Saccharomyces cerevisiae S288C: one gene and its partners. The gene in region 3 interacts genetically with the main gene of each other region. Each region holds a gene or a part of one and is shown on either strand. Other genes may lie near its edges.

Region 1 (6,101 bases), 500 kb from region 3:
GATTACTAAACTAGCAATAGTACTGACGATCCTATATATTTATTTTACGCCCAAAATCGTCTCCCGAAACAATGCATCATTGCAGCATATTTTTCCTCATAAATATGGCGATTATGAAATCAATTTGGTCATAGCGCACCCTGACGACGAAGTTATGTTTTTTTCCCCCATAATTTCTCAACTGAATTCGTACTTTCCGAGAACCGTCCCATTTAACATAATCTGCTTATCAAAGGGCAACGCCGAAGGTCTTGGCGAAACCAGGGTAAGAGAATTAAATGAGTCGGCCGCTTTATTGCTACACAATGAAAGAGCAGTCTCCGTACAGGTGATGGATTTCCAGGATGGTATGGACGAAATATGGGATATTGATTCTATAACTTCTTCTCTTTCACAAAAGATAGATATAAAGAATCATAACTTGAACCAGATTATCGTTACCTTTGATTCATATGGTGTATCAAATCATATCAACCACAAAAGCTGTTATGCTGCCGTTAAAAAGTTGGTGGATGATTATGCTCAACCTAAGACCAAAAGAAATGAACAACCACCTCATGTCACTGCGCTTTATTTGAGAAGCTACAAGAACAACATCGTTTTAAAGTACAACTCCTTTATTTGGGAAATCCTAAAAATACTTTACGACCTGATTTCTCCATTCCGTAGAATAATTCAGGCGCTTCCGCCTAACACAGCCGCCGAAAAAGACAAGCTTTCACTTATGAATACACATGCACAATACGTACTAGCGTTTGCCACTATGCTAAATGCTCACGAATCCCAAGTTGTGTGGTTTAGATACGGATGGTGGATATTTTCCAGATTTGTCTTCGTTAATGAATTTGATGTTTATACATATTAGACTCTACACTGTAGATATATATATAAAAAAGTCCCATATTATTTACATCCTATAGAATAAGAATATGGAGAAAAATAAATGCTAATTCTACTTACACTTTTCTTACCAAAGGCTACCTATAATCATACCATCATCTTCATCGTCATCGAAACTATCTAGCCGCACTTTCTCCCTTTCCTTTTTGTTCTCAATCTTGTTTTTCATTTTCTTACTTCTTAGAAACATACGATTCGCACAAAAAATATTCAAATCTTTGGTCATTTTTCTATCAAAACCATAACTATCAATGAATTCCCTTACCGCTGAAAATCTACCTCTATTTACAAGCTCCTTAATAATACATTTTTGGTATTTGATAATGATATTGTTAACTTTTCCAGCATTTTCTGCTCTCGTTCTTTCGATCCCCGGTTTGAAACTCCTTAAAACATCAATTCCAAGCGGGAAATTGCCTGTTTTCTTCATGATATCGTACAGTTGTCTCAACGTCTCATAATCAACTGAAGGCCTTAGCCGCTTAGATGCATACCACTGCTTCATTAAATGCCAACATCTAACAACAGAAGTGGCTTTCTTGTCGTTTGCTGGTGTCCAAGCAAAATGACTTAGCTGAAACAGCCTTCTCCAAAATAGCGCATCCAATTTCACGTCCGGATAGTGCTTTATGAATGAATCCAAAATACTTAGGCCTCTGTGAAGATCGTGGTCATTAAAGTAGAATGACACTAAGATTGAAACGAGTATTTTGGAACTAGGATAGCACCCTCGGTGCTTAATTACTACGTGACTAGGAAACTCTTGGGGTGATATTTGCCATATATGTTCAATACACCGTTCCAATATTTGGGTTTGGCCTAGGTGTCCAAAGGATTGAATTAAAGTGGACAACAAATCCTCGGAATTCAAAAGCTTTTTCTCCTGCAGAGCAAGATCAGCAATCTTTAATAATGTTTGGTGATCCATGGCTTTGTAAGTAGAAGAAAGACGAATTGACGTATTTTTCGCACCTAGTCGAACCATTTTTCTTAAAAAACCTTGTTTTTGCTCACTATTATCTGGTATTTTCCAATAAGGCGCCAAAGCGCCACAACGCAGTTGTAAAAAGTGAACTATTGTGCTAATATCTGCATTTTTCGGAGACAGTAATATATCAGGATTTCTATCAAGAATAAAGCTTAAAATTTTTTGAGCCTTACCTAATTGACCGAGCTCTATAAAGTTCTTGATCATAAGATTTGCATCAAATATTTCACATGCATCTAGTTTCGTATTCCGTAAGTTAACTTGGTTTCTCTTGGCATCAACTTTTTCTGCATATAAGGAAAAAAGTTTGAACCAAAATTCTGAATATTTAGCGTTTATGTCTCTACAGATTCTCCTAATTTGAAACCGTTGTGTGTATAGTTTGCTCAAAAGAAAAGACAGGTCCTCTAAAGACAGAACATCCTTCGGTTCAGGGTCCACGGTTTTCGCGAATAAGTAACTTATACTCTTGGAAAATTCGGATTCATCCATTCCACTCGAGCTGATAATTCGTTTTAATGTGTGAACATCTATAGGTATACCTTTTGCCTCGAATTTGTCATAAGCGCTCCCATTATTTTCATCTTTTGATCGATCAATTGCACATACCGTGTGAGTTGAATAGGATTTTTTGATTAAAATATCATTTATGACAGCCCTACCCATTACATACGTTCTTCGGGGATAGACAGAATGACATATTGTGCTATTCGGCAGTACACCAAATTCACGCAGCGATTTCACTGATACAGTGCAGAGCCTCTTCGTGTAAAACCTCAGAACACTGTAGGATGGATGTTTAACCAGTCTATTTATCCACATTAATCATAAATTTAGGTAGTGGACTGTTAACGAAGGAGAGCTTCGTTAATTTGTTCTTGATTTTACATATTCTTTTCATTAGCCAATGTCTGAAGGGCTCTTTTTCAATGAACCTTTTCTGTTCAGGATAAACGGTAACCCGCTCTTTTTCTAATAAAAACTGACGTTATTTGATATTAAAATATACAGTGACATTGCGAGTAAACATCTCAGTATTGCCTAACTCACTACATTAAAAAGCTATTGACGCTGTTCAGTGTTGCTCTTGAAGGGTTAACGTTGCGTCCTTTCAAGTGGGAAATCAATTTTGTCAAGTGTTTTCTTACAATAAGCTTACTGATGTCCGGTAACTCCGACGTAAGCATCCATTCTTCAGTATATTTGGTACAAAGGATACTTAAGATGACACCGATTGACATATCAGTACCTGTATTGCAGCATATTAGCATTGGCTTTATTTTTTCATCTCGATTTGTAAACAACGATTGAATTTCTCCATGGATTCTAGGGAATGTGGATCGTAAAGCTTTTGAACTTTTCTTGTCTCCGCTTTGCAACTTGTATATTGAAATAAACGGATCTGTCCCACTTTCTTCTTCATCGTCTGTATCTTCAGCAACAGTCACCGAATTACTGAAAATTATAACTTTACCATATTCTGACTTCAATTTCTGTTTCAAATTCTTATTGATGGTTAAGCCTGAACTCACTTTTCCTAGAGATATCTCATTCGTAATTTTATCAATGTTTCCAAAGACTTCATCCAAGCTTCCTTTATCTTGTATATAACACTGATTTCTCAGCTTTGCAGCAGCCAAATCCATGATGTAATCATGTAACTGGTCGTCTGAATAACTTGCGTCGCCTAGGTATTCTATATGGGCCCAAAACATATTTGAATCCAAACCAAAAGACCAGAGCTCGTGATCGTCGGCTGCACCCTGCACATAAGTGAAGCCGTATCTTTTATCCATACCATCTTGTGCTTGATAGCTTACCGTGCACAAAATAATGGGTATTATGTTTTGGTCTTCAGGTGTTTCCCAGGCTTCATACTCCTGTACTTCACCCGTGAAGTAATCAACAGAATGGTCTAGAAGTGAAGAACCAGGGTGAACCCATATGGGCCGCAATAACTTACCCATAAACAGTTCGTTCAATTTCTTAGAATCTATAATATTCAATTTTTGTAGTTTAGCAACTAGTTCGGGTATTTTTCGCTTAATCATGTCATATTCTGATTTGGGAACTGTCTCAGGTGGAAGATACAGTACCTTATCGATGGCAACATTTTTTTCTGTTTCCTGAAGCATTAACGTATTTAATACAGCACACCATATGGGGACAGTCTTACTCAAAGCATCTGGGATTTTTTTACCTCTTCTAGTACTATCGACAATTATAATACCTTTATTATCTCGAATGGTCTCTAACAAATGAAAGTTCAATCTTCGGGTGCTAAAGTCCCATTGGTTGACATGCCCGTCTGTGCTCTTAAAGTAACTGGTCTGTTTGAAACTTGATGGATTACAGTACCATAGCCCACATCTTTCATTGGGTATCAGTGGATAATGGGGAAATATAGGGATAACTCGATCTTGCAAAAATTTATTGTCTAAAAGAATACTCTGAAGTCGATTCCTTACGGACTTGTTTTCCTTTCTGATGTCTTTATTTATCTGAGATAGCGAAAGATAAATATTTTCATCCATCACGGATATACTAAACTGTACTCTGGATCTATATCTCTTTGATAGCCTCGATACCATCCATCAAGAGATCAAAATTTTCAAGCATGCTTTTTTTTTCCTGCATATGAACAATGAATAATGGGCCCAGTCACAGTTAAGCAGTAATAAGAACAAAGCACATAAACATACAACGCATATATGAAGAGCAATAGAGTGGTGGGATGATTTTAGAAGTTCATTTTTGATGAAGATGATAAGATTATGTAATAGCGGCTATGCTAAGCTCCCTTCGGGCATGGAAATCAACAAAAAAGTTGTAACCGTACATAATATGACGGGAAATGCAACAAGCTTTCCAAGAAGTAATGGAAGGCATAGCTAAAGGACTATCTGGCTCGGCCATAAGTTTGAAATTTGTGTATACAGGTATAGGAAACCCTTATACCTACCTAAATCGTCGAAGCTACTGATATATTGCGTATAGTCGATATGCCCAATGTAATTCATATTTCATACTCTTCTCTTGTACAGATTAAGGGCACCTGTTTTATTCTTAGAATATACTACAACCTGCCTACTAATTAACAATGATACTATTAACGGTGCAAAACCGGATGCTCAAATTTAAAGTGATTACTCAGTTATAAACACGCCTGGTGTGAAATTAACGACCATTAATAAGAATAAATATTACTGGCATATTATAATATGCGGTGGAAAAACATAAAATAAGGATTGAGAAATAGTTATCAAGTATAATGGAAGCTGAAGTGCAAGGATTGATAATGTAATAGGATAATGAAACATATAAACGGAATGAGGAATAATCGTAATTTTATTATGTAGAAATATAGATTCCATTTTGAGATTTCTATCCTCGAGGAGAACTTCTAATATATTCTGTGTACATAATATTATATAGCCTTGATCAACAATGCAATCCCAACAATTATCAAATTATTCACCCAATATTCAGTATAATCCATATTTATAGAATATATAGGATAATTATCATCCCCTCAATCAAGTTGATATTCCGTTTTGACAACAGGTCACTTCTGCAAGGTTGCTTATATTAAAATTGTGAATAAGCATGATATTAGACGGACTCATAATTGAATGGTTATCAGTTAATTGACTCTCGGTAGCCAAGTTGGTTTAAGGCGCAAGACTGTAATTTACCACTACGAAATCTTGAGATCGGGCGTTCGACTCGCCCCCGGGAGATATTTTTTTACTTTTGATTACCTTAATTTTTGAAGATTCTCAATTTCATGTATTAGGGATTGCTTTAAGGTAGCTACCAAATGACATTCTCTGTATTACTGTTCTAGTTTTCAACAGTAAAGCTATGATTTGTTAAGTGACTCTAAGCCTGATTTTAAAACGGGAATATTATGCGCTCAGTCACTAATGCATTTGGCAATAGTGGAGAACTTAACGATCAAGTGGATGAAACAGGTTATAGGAAGTTTGATATCCATGAAGGAATTTTGTTTTGCATTGAACTATCAGAGACAATGTTTAAAGAGTCCTCTGATCTAGAGTATAAATCACCATTGTTGGAAATTCTGGAATCACTAGATGAGCTAATGTCACAATTGGTCATAACAAGACCTGGGACAGCTATTGGTTGCTATTTTTATTACTGTAACAGAGAGGATGCCAAGGAAGGTATCTATGAACTTTTTCCATTAAGG
Region 2 (5,627 bases), on a different chromosome or scaffold from region 3:
ATAAGTAGACGGTGGTCAATGGAACCATGTATGGAAAAACCAATCTTCGAAGTCTCTTGACCGTTTGCAAAATGTGCTGTCTTGTAGAATACAGGGATTGCGAAGCGTTGGTATGTGTAAAGGCGACAGGAAAGGGCACCAACTGGTCATCCTCTGCTTCGTCAATTTGTTGAAGACTTTGGTAAGTCAGGTTGGTATCATTGGATTCTAATTTAAAATAAAACAAAAATGCAAATGGAAGGAGACTAAATACTAGTAAAGTTAGCTTCACTGGAACTTTAAAGATTGAAGTTAAGAACATATAAGATGCTCCGCCAATGATTCCTGCACCACCAGTACCTGACGACCATCCATTCAAAGAAATTTGTTTGTAATAGTGTGTTAGCTGTAGGAATGTCACTTCTCCAAATCCGGAAGATATAGATGCGAAAGATATTCCTAAAAGACAAACAAACAAGTTTTTAAAAGAAACTAAGAACATTCCTAAGCAACTCATCGTGATCAAAGACCATATTCTATAGCTGTACTTGATTCTATCAATAAAGAATGGGGAACACAATTTAATGGCGAGTGATGGGAATATATCTGCTAGCAATACTAGAGATTTAGGCAAGGTAGGACCCACGATATCAACAGCTGCTGAAAGTATTACCACATAAAGTACATTATTGATCAAACCAAAGAGCCAAAAGTAGCAATATATCTGATGAGATTTGTCACTCATTTATATTTACTTGCGCTATATCTTCATATGTGTTTAAGTACTCTATAAATACACTGTTCAAAACATTACTAAATGTTCATATTGTCTATTTTTCATTAAGGGTTCACTTTTTCTTGTAGTACGCGAAGAAAATATGGAATTATTCTGGAATATTGATGTTTATATTTACCACTTCTGCATAAAAATATACATGCTTTATAAAATCTATATATTGAGAAAAAGGAGTATAAAAAAAAATTTATCTTATAAGTAGTCCTTGAGTAGTTTTAATCTCTCTACGGCATTTTCTAGATAAGCATCATCTTTACAAACTGCAAACCTTAACAAATTCTCAGCAGCCTTTTCGTGCTCTTTGATATAGAATTCAGTTGGTGGAATGGCAACCACACCTAATTCATTGATCAACCAGTGAGAAATGCGAAAATCTTTTCCCTTATTCAGGATCTCCTCTGGGTAGGGATAGTCCTCGGGAATTTTCACTTTAGAGAAATCAACGAGGACAAAATATGTACCCTCTGGAGCTGTATATGGTAGTCCCAATTCATCAAAGATCGATGTGAAAATTTTGAATTTGTTGATATATTCCTGTCTCATTTTTTCAAAATACCCAATTTTTAAAGCGTCGTTAATAGAGTTTGCACAAGCTTCCTGTAGAGGGGATGGAGATGCAAAACAAATTCTTGTATGTGCCTTAGCTGCATAACTTAACAACTCTGCGTTCAAGGATAAGACCCAACCAATTCTCCAACCAGTAGCAGCAAACGATTTACCGGCAGAACCGACCGTTAAGGTTAGTTGCCCAATTTCTGGAGAGAGTGTGGCAATTCTAGTGAAAGAATCAGTGAAGTAAAGGTGTTCATAGACTTCATCAGATATAATCACAACGTTGTGCTTGACGCAAATGTTACCTAAAGTGGTTAATTCCTCGCGCGTGAAAACTTTACCAATTGGGTTGTGAGGGGTATTGATAATGACAGCTTTTGTCTTGGATGTAATCGCTTTTTCGAACTGCTCAAAGTCAATGGTCCATTCTTCACCTCTAGTATTCCTTTGATCCAATTCCTTTGGAGGATTTATGGGGACGTAAACAACTTTACCACCGCAAAGTTCGATATTTGGAATATATTGGTCAAAGAAAGGTTCAAAAACAATAACCTCGTCGCCAGCGTTCAAAAGCCCCATCAAGCAAGAAAGTATACCTTCATTGGCACCTGTTGTTACGGTAACATTTTCCGCTTTCAATTCTGTGTTATAAATAGGAGAATACAACTTAATCAAGGAATTAATTAATGAAGGTCGACCTCTAGTTGGAGAATATTGATTGACCATTGGAATGTCTAGGGCTTTCTGAGCCTCCTTAATGGCGAATTGAGGAGGGGAATATGAAAAAAAGCCTTGGCCTAAATTAATAAGTTCACGGCCTTGGTTTTTGGAGTTATTGGCAGCTTTTGCAGCGGCTTCATTGGTTAGCGACCAAACATCTTTGGCAGTGTTAGAAGTGAAATATTTGTTGGCAACAACTTTCGGTCTCGAAGTAGACATTAGGTTCGTAAATTGACGAATGAATCGTTGTTTCATTGAGAGCAAGTAACAATGGATTCTATACGCAATTATAGTAAATTGAACACTTTATATATATCTCTATCGTACCTTCCCCTTTTAAACATGACTGAATTTTGGTATCTTGATTGTCATAATGACAACAAAAAAGCCACAGTTCTACGTCACGTGCTAGACACGACATGCTACTGAAGAAATTGTTATCAAATGAAAAGATACATTTATGTAATAACCACTACCAGGCACTTGCTAAAAAGAATCTACGTAAGAACTACATAAAGGTTAGCTTGTGCGCCAGAAAGTGATATCAAAGTTTTATGAACGCTGAACAATTTTGAGCCAGTAATTATCTTGGCATAGGAGACGATAAATGCCATCGTTCTTTTAAAGAGCTTATTAAGTTATTAACTCTCTTCGATTAGACATTCTCTTATCAAACGAGTTACGTTACATTTAGGAATAATGCGACAAAGATGGAGGTCTTGATTCCTAAATCCTACTCAAAACAATCTGCTCTACTGTCAAAATCCTTGCTCCGTAAATTGATTTCGTTGTCAGACGCTCACCGTACAAGAAGTTTGTGGGTATTTACATCGTAAGAAAAGTGCAACCAGATTCAATATTGAATTACCTGAGCGGTGTCTTCCTATATTAAAATGACGATTTTGTTTTTCTTTGTATTGTGAGGGTAGCAGATTCGTCTTCTGCACTTTTCATCTACTATTGCAAAGCCTAATACAAATACAGTTGTTGAATATAAAAATTCGAAATCAGCCTTCCATTCTCGAAAGTGAACAAGGAAACTCACTGGATAAAAATTCACACGAAAAGAAAAAACCGAAAAAAAGTAACTGTGTTGCTTGCAGAGGGTTTGATTACTCATAACCGAGAGACACGATCTGTAGCGGTGATATGAACGTATTCCTCACCTTCTTCTAACCCTTTGGAATAATAGTTTCCATCACTCTTTACAAAAGTAGCATTACTCACCAAATAAGGTCATAAAAAAGACTTTTATTTTGTATACATGTAAATTTTGGCAGCGGTTAGTGAGGTAAAAGAGATACGAATGAATATACGATACAATGATACAGCATACTGAAAAATCATCCTAACGATTTGGTGCACAGAAGGCTTTATATATTGACCAATTCATATATAATGTCCTCTTGCTACATGATATTATACCATTGCCCAGTTGTTTCTTAGCGTACATATATGATAGCAGACTATGCAAGTCGCTTACTCATTGAGTTTTAGTAGTAAATTCCTGAGAAACTTGTAACAATTCTTCATTGCATTCTTTAATTATCTTTGAATCTATTTCAAGCATTTTGCGTAGCTCATCCCATTCGTTTTGGCTCTTTTTATCGACTTTGATAGTTTCTGCCTCGATACGAGTTAGTTCACTCTTCAAGTACGATAAATCTTGTTGAAGGGATTTTTGAGAGTGAACAAAGCTGTTGAATTGCAATATTTGGTTTCGTATCTCTTTGAACCATTTCATCTCACCATGGCTTATTTTCTTTTCTTTAAATTTATTGGATTCGGCGATTTGAGATAGCTTCTTGCTCAATTTACTAAATCTCTCCATTAATTCTGACTGTCTGCTTAGTTGTGCATCCCATTTCTTATTTTGTGCTTCGAATTTTCTCCTTAAATCATCATCCTTTGAAATTATTTTGCATGTCGATTGTAGTTGGCGCGTCAATTCGAACTGTTGCTCATGAATTCTATTGTGGATAGAAACACCCAAAGTTTGAGCTTTAACAATTCTTTGCAAAAATTCTTTGGAAATATCCGTGAAAATTTCCAACTGATTTTCACTAGCTTCGTTTTTTAAAGGTATCTGGCGGTCTGCTGATGGGATAATTCGTTCACATGGACTAATACAGGCTTTTTGAAAATTATCGTTCAAAATAAGAATCTCATTTATGGGCTGTGTGAAACTCATTTTAAAACCATCTCCTACCGTGTCACTTTTTTCTGTACTGATACTTGTTTCAGCTGCGGTGCTTTGCGGTTTCATATCGCTTGAAATATTTTGAAAAGTCAATGTTTTATTCGACATCAAGGCTAAATTAGATTGGTCATTCCAGTTGATATACGCTAGGTTTGGAATTCTTTCTATGGTGGCAATATCCTCAAGTTTACTTTCAAATTTCAATCCTGCAAGTGGATTCAAATCCGATTCGTTGATACATTTACTCAATGTAGAAGCCCAGCTCATAAAATTTACTTGTTGTATAATATTATCGGAAATGACATAAAGTTTTCCCAACTGTTCAGGTAACGTTATTAGAGACTTAATTTCTCTTTGTAGTTTGACTCGTTCAATTAGAACCAAAGAATTATTATACACGTAATTGTCAACATCCCACGACATTGACATTTCCAAATCTTTGAAGAGTAAGATTAAAGACCCATCATCAAAACTGACACAAACAATTTCATTTTGCCCATTATCAATTAGTATGGTTGCAATATTTGTAGCAGTATAGTCATACAGCTCGCCGGGAAAGGGGTTTATCGTGAATGGTCCTTGAACCTTGGCTAAACGATATTCCTTTTGTATGTCGACTTTGCCAAATCTTGAATTCCAATTTTCATGCAGTTTTGACACAAACTGTAACTGCTTAATAACATTCCTTTTAACTATAACATCTGTTGTAGAATCCAGGGACTCGTACATTACTAAAGATTTGTTTAGGATCAAGTTGAGATCTTTCTCATTTAACAGTAATACTGACGGTAAAAATGGATAAAATGCAAAGATATCACCGCCTTCTGTGGTGTTTAGACAATATAACGTCAATCCGTCCTTACTGAATTCTAAATCTGTGATGTCGTTAACACGTGCATCTAAACCAAAGGAGTTGTTCGGTTTGTTCAAAACGATAGGCTTTTCTTGCGAATTAAGGATGTCAAACATCGTGATAGTGTCATCCTCTTTCAAAACCACTATACAAGAATCACGATAACTCTTTGGATGAAACAAAACTTTCTTAATGGACGATTTCGGACCAACTTCTTCTTCATCAATTGAATAGTGGAAAATTTGGAATGCATCTTGAATGGAAACGTCTTCAACGTTGGAATAGCCCCAAGGAACTTCCATTACAAAAATCTCGTTGTCATTGAAAAGACAGAGTAGGTCACCAGACGTACTAGATATTACATGGAAGGTATCATCCAAGACGAGATGACGACTAAAGTTCAAACTGTGGTAAAGTGAATCAGTGAGTACATTGTACCACCTTATTATGTTATCTTGAATGAAAACAATCCTTGTGCCATTCTGAGAACTAAAAATGTAACGTGGAGATTGGCTTGCCGAAAGCGA
Region 3 (5,765 bases):
AGAAATTGCAGAAAGAACTGAGGCCTATAATAAATCATCAAATGAATGGGAAACGATGGAACGTTCTATCATTTCTAATGACGCCAAAGTATTGACTACTACGGCTAATAGGCATCAAACCGAAAAAAAGACCTCCCAGGAAAAGATTAAAGCCAGCTTTGATGCACTTGTGGCCAGAATGGATACCAAAGTCGCTGAAAGGGAAACTCTGCTTGAAGATACCAAGAGCAAAGAGATCGAATTTAAAAAGCAAATGCAGCAAGAGTTAAAGGACGAAAAAGCTCGTCTAGATCAAGATTTGGAGGAATGGGGTAAGAAATGTGAACAAGATATCACTGAAGCGCGCAAAGAGCAAGAAGAACTATTGAAACCTTACCATGACGATCTGGCAAATGCAGAAGCGGAACACAAAACTTTAGTGGAAGAGCGCGATGAAATTAACGCAGAAATCTCAAGATTGCAGGATGCTATAGTTGACCATAAAAGAAAGATCTCTGGTTACGGAAATGATCTTGACGCCCAGAAGAATAGAAATATCAGAGAGGATGACAAATTACTGGAACTAGGTCAAACTAAAGAAAGCTTGGAATCCCATTTGAATGATGACGTTATTATTCTTGCTAATAAGGCTAAAGAGCAGGCTGAGTTATCAACCAAGGAGGCCCGTCTGAAGCAATTGGAAGTGGATTCGTTGATTAACGAACGTAAGAGCGAGTTGAACGCGACCGAAATCGAGTTAAAGAAGGAAAAACTAAATTTGTTGGAAGCTATGAAAGATGTTGCTTCTGCACGTGGCGATGATAAGATTGACGAAGAGAAGGTTAAAAAATTGATTGGTATGACTTCTGAGGAGTATTTAACACAAAACAAATCCGTCGAGAAAAATGTTGAAGATTTACCAACCCAACTTGAAAAAATAGAGGAAGGTGATGAACTAAAGAAGGAAGAGATAGTGGGAGCCGAAACGAAAAATTCAGGTGGTGATGGGGTTCCGGTGAGTACTGCCGCAAAAGAAGCTACCGAAACTAGTTCTGCTGTTCAAACAAAGGAACCTGAAGAAAAAATTTCGATCGGAAATAAATCAAGTGGAAAAGAAGACGCTAATGATTGTAAATCAGCGGAGCATTCAAAAGAAATCTCGGTTTCACAGAAAGCAGGAAACAATAAATCATTGGGAGTTAGCCCTGATAGTTTGGAACATACATTTAGTGGCTTTTCACAGGGTTCTTCGATCGAAGACGATCAGGATGCAATTAGTAATCAAGAGAAAAAATAATTGCTAGTGAGCCTAGATAACGAAGAAATGGTGCGGCTAAGATATTGAACAGTTGAGTGGGATACTACAGAATTTTGATAATTAAGATAGTTCTCATCTGCGCTTTAATTATTCTTTTTATGTGTATAATATATGTTTATTGCCTTAATTTAAATTTAATATTTGTATTTTCTTTTTTTTGTTTAATTTGATTACTTTTGCTTATGAAATAGTATATATGGTTGTTTTACTTTTTTTTTTATTTATTTGATCTAAGTTTTATGTATGCAGATTAAAAGCAAGTTTTAATTAATTGGTATGTTGGTTTTGATTATGATTATGAGGAGTACCGCTATTGCTATTGTTTAAATTACTACTGTTGTGTTCCAGTTCATTCACGCCTGGATCAGTTTTGAAGTATACTTCATCCGGCAAAGTATCTGTTGAAATTATTGAATATTTGATGAGCCAATTTCTCATTGGTTGGTAGTCTAAAACAGAAAACGGAATGTTTAAATCGATAAGAATCTCTATCAAGTCGTTCATGGCTATTTTCGATTGAAGTTCTCGAACATTTTGCTGTTGGACCTGGTGGTTGATGAGGCTCGATCCGGTTTCAGGATGATTTCCGTTGACGTCCCCTTTTTTCTTCTTTTTCTTCTCTTTGAATTTGGCATCTGGTTCAACAAGTAAATCACGCATCAATCTAGATTGATAGTCATAGCATTCCTGGAAAAGTGGAGAATTATGATCAAAAAATTCGGTAAAATTATTTGGTGTTAGCTGGACATCGTGAACTTTACTCAAATGTCTTTGATACTTTCTAGAACCATGCTTCTCTCTACTGTTCTTATCTTTCCATATCATTTCTTGATTGCAAATTCGCTTGGTTCTACGGTCATAAAATTGGCAATATGTGTTGATAGTTAGAGGTGATTTAGCAAATAATAGTTTAGATAGATGGTTTCCCTTAATATCTCTTCTCTTGGGAATGGGAAGCTCCAAAGTTTTCATAATGTCTGATCTAAAATTTAGTGTTTCTGAAGACAGTAGCTGCATATTATTCTCTATGAAATCTACCACTTGTTGCTGTTGCCGTTGAACTGCATATTTAGAATCCTTTGTGCTATTCGATTCAATAGTTCCCAGAGGAAGCGACTCATCATGAGTAACGTTGACAGGAGATGACTTGGCAGATACGGTAGCAGAAGAAAAATCTGGCGAGAAGTTCTCTTTTTGCAAATAATCCGGTACCATATTCATATTAAGTATCCTTGGAGTTTCCATCTTGTTGGGCGCCAGATACATCTCCTCACGAGGAGTCCCACTACGGTTGGCAGGAAAATTAGGCAGTGTCGCTATATCAACCATGCCTCTATTGTCTTGAGGAGGGCCTTTAGTGGTAGCAAATTTCCCCATTTCTGGATTTAGGTCCTTCATAACTGCTTGTAGTTCTATCTCCTTGTTTTCGAATAGCTTCTCAGAAAGTAAAAAAAAGGATAATATTACAGTTTTTGATCTACAGAGTCCCTTTTTGTACCCCTCCACTCAAATCGTTCTGATACGTACGTCTCTAGGTGTCAGATGATGGAGTAACTTGCAGATGTTTTACATGCGTTTCTTTTGGTTTACGCGATAATAGTTCCTTATTAAATGTCAAGAAAGTGCTAGTTGCTTCAGTTGTTTTAAGATTGATCTCCACTCTCTGCGTCTTCACATGCGCGGGACAACTTTACAGGAAAACAAGGTTTAAGAGATAACCTATTCGGGTTTTACGTAGGATGATCTATTATAGTCTATTCAGTTTTTACTGCTGCACCATCCCCTAGGCTTCTTTGTTGGGATATGGTATAGTACTCTATTGGTCTTAACTTTGCGATCTTCCCCGTCGCGTAATCTTAGATAAAAGCCACCTAGAACGACTAAATGTGAGGAGCAAGCAACAACATTAATAAAGAAACCCAAAAGAAGTAAGTGCGTGTAGTTAGACCGGAAAACAATATGGCTATTAACCAGGCACATGTTCATCCGCATTACACGTTACCTGGTGTAATGCACTACTTGCAAACGGAGTTCACGAAGAATGAAAGAGATAGAATCACCTGGGAGCTAGAAAGGTCGGAAATGAAAGCAAGAATTGCAGAACTAGAGGGCGAAAATAGAGATTTGAAGCATCAATTGAATCAAATACAATCGAAAGCTGTTTCTCCTGAAGGTGAAAAGGAAGAAAAACATGTGCCTGATTCATTACTGCAGTCTAAGCTAGCTGTTCAAGAAAATGTGAAGGAAATAATTTATTTGTTGAAAGGCCCTAACACGGTCAATCAGTTAGAGTCATTAAATAGCAGAGAAGCGGGTTCTGAATTGCACGATTTAGAGAAACTGAACGTGAATACTCCCAAGGAAGAGGGCAGTGCGAAGACAAATGGGATGGATATTTTAAATAATGCCCTCTTGGACACCAAACCCAATCCAAAGCAAGGTCCTTCAGAGTCACCATCACCAACCAAAGTGAAATCTTTGTTTAGCACAGCCAACAAGCGTGAAAATAATGAAACAATATCCAAGATACACTCGGAATTGTCGAAAGTCGACATTATCAGCTCCTACGGGGACTGTATGGCACTTTATGATGCAGACACCAAATCGTTAGAAATACACCAAGTGGACGCAAACTTGAATTCCAAACTCTTAAAGAAAATATCTTTAGGGCAAGATAGCGACATTATGAAATTTTTCTGGGTTTCGACGTCCAAACTCCTTGTTATTGAAAAGAGTTTCCATTTGAAATTGTTCTCTATTTCTAGCGCATCTTTGATCTCAGATGTGGACCTATTACAAGACTCAGAACAGCCGTTTTCGTCTAGTGATATCATTAATATAGACTTCAAAAATAAATGGTTGTTGATAGCTAGTAAGAATAAATCTCAAATTAGAATCTGGGAATTGGACAATATAGAGGCTCCTGAGGATGTCCCAATTAACATAAAAGAAACATATGAAATAACACATGATAATGATGACGATGATAGTAATGATTCCACAAACATTCTGGATTGTATATTGGGTATAACAGAAAAATCCTTAATATTACTGTCTTCAAATCCATACCAGCTTACCATATATGATTTCGAGGGTAAGCTTCTACAAAAAATTGATTTGAAGATTGATACAATATTATCGGGTAAGCCAGAAGAAGAAGGTTACCATTTATTTTTGGATAGAAAAACTTCTAAGCTACTGATTCAGCTAAGCAATGAGAGATTATTGGTTTATTCTTTTGATAAGAAAAAAGTTGTACTGAAGGAACAATTGACTCCATCGTCAACACTACCAATACAACTCGATTTGAACGACAGCATAATCACCGTATCATATAGTAATGGAGACTTTGAGTTTAGGAATTTAGAAAACCTAAAACCATCCATCGACGAATTTGTCGTAGCAGACATCAACTTCTCGGAAAGAAAAGAGCCTGTGGTATTTTCTTCAAATCTGATTGTAGATTCTACGCCGGTGTTAATCACCGTGAATAAAAATAACGAAGTCCTTTTGCACAAGATTAAAATATAACTGATGTAGGCAGAAAAAAAAATAATATATGAATCTGTCTAATAGATACTTATGTGTACGTATATAGGTATTTTTTTCTATCCTCTATTCATGGTATTTCCGCTTCCCTTAGCATGACTTTCCTTGAACTCGTCCCACTCACGAGCTTTATAGGTTTCTCTATCTTGCCAGTCCATGTTTTCTTCATCTGGTGCTTGCTCTGGTTCTTCGCCACCTTGAAGAACGCGACCTTCTTCAAACTCTTTATCTAAAAATTCCTCCACCGACATTGTTGGTCCATATTGACCATATCCTCGCACTTTTTGTTGCAGTTGTTGCCTTTTGTCGACAAGCGTGAAGTTCCTCAAGACTTGACCTTTTTTGTCTATCAATGGCTTATTTATATTCTCTAATTTATCGGTAAAACCAGTGGAATCATCATCATTCGATTCTTTTCGTATCTGAGTACCTGATGATTTGACTTCATGTACGGAATTTTTGAGGAAATTAGAGAGCATTTCACATTCAAATAAATTCTGTTCAATGTTGTTAATCGTATCAAGACTAAAGTGATGTAACCTCATCAAATATAGTTCTCTTAGTAATTCATCATGGTCGTGGTCCTCGTCGTTGTTTTTTAATTCCAACTCCAAGCAGTGCAGTTTTGTGCTAATTTCTTTATTGCGCTGGAATAGCTCAATCTTTTCTTTTCTCTTCAACTGTGCTCCAGATAAATCTTTGTTATTTTTTGGTTGCGCGTACAATTCGCTAAGCTGAGGGTTATAACGATCCTTGAAGTTACCTAGTTTTTCACCAACCAAAGGATCTAGAAGCTTATAATCCTGCAATAGTGTCAGGAAATTAATGAAAGATTCAACGCTTTTTTTCAGGTAAATCAATTTCATAGACTGCCTTTGAGCAACATCCGAATCATTCGACTGTCGTCTTGATATCAATA

Evidence for each region.
Region 1: mutations in RSF1 (region 3) and AEP2 together harm fitness more than expected from each alone (negative genetic interaction), as found in Saccharomyces cerevisiae (one large-scale study listed by BioGRID).
Region 2: mutations in RSF1 (region 3) and BNA3 together harm fitness more than expected from each alone (negative genetic interaction), as found in Saccharomyces cerevisiae (one large-scale study listed by BioGRID).

The regions. Positions count from the first base shown.
Region 1 is NC_001145.3:832,389-838,489, forward strand, and holds AEP2 (Aep2p), read right to left. Parts: upstream 2,711-6,101; coding exon 968-2,710; downstream 1-967. Other genes in the region: GPI12 (N-acetylglucosaminylphosphatidylinositol deacetylase), read left to right, coding at 1-865; RIT1 (tRNA A64-2'-O-ribosylphosphate transferase), read right to left, coding at 2,938-4,479; ATP-dependent DNA helicase YKU70, read left to right, coding at 5,799-6,101. UniProt on the Saccharomyces cerevisiae protein: Required for translation of the mitochondrial OLI1 transcript coding for the mitochondrial ATP synthase subunit 9.
Region 2 is NC_001142.9:320,061-325,687, reverse strand, and holds BNA3 (kynurenine--oxoglutarate transaminase), read right to left. Parts: upstream 2,303-5,627; coding exon 968-2,302; downstream 1-967. Other genes in the region: amino acid transporter YHC3, read right to left, coding at 1-724; linker nucleoporin NUP82, read right to left, coding at 3,531-5,627. UniProt on the Saccharomyces cerevisiae protein: Catalyzes the irreversible transamination of the L-tryptophan metabolite L-kynurenine to form kynurenic acid (KA).
Region 3 is NC_001145.3:327,723-333,487, reverse strand, and holds RSF1 (Rsf1p), read right to left. Parts: upstream 2,696-5,765; coding exon 1,565-2,695; downstream 1-1,564. Other genes in the region: EIS1 (Eis1p), read left to right, coding at 1-1,276; FAR8 (Far8p), read left to right, coding at 3,257-4,828; TAP42 (Tap42p), read right to left, coding at 4,906-5,765. UniProt on the Saccharomyces cerevisiae protein: Mitochondrial and nuclear transcriptional activator required for respiratory growth.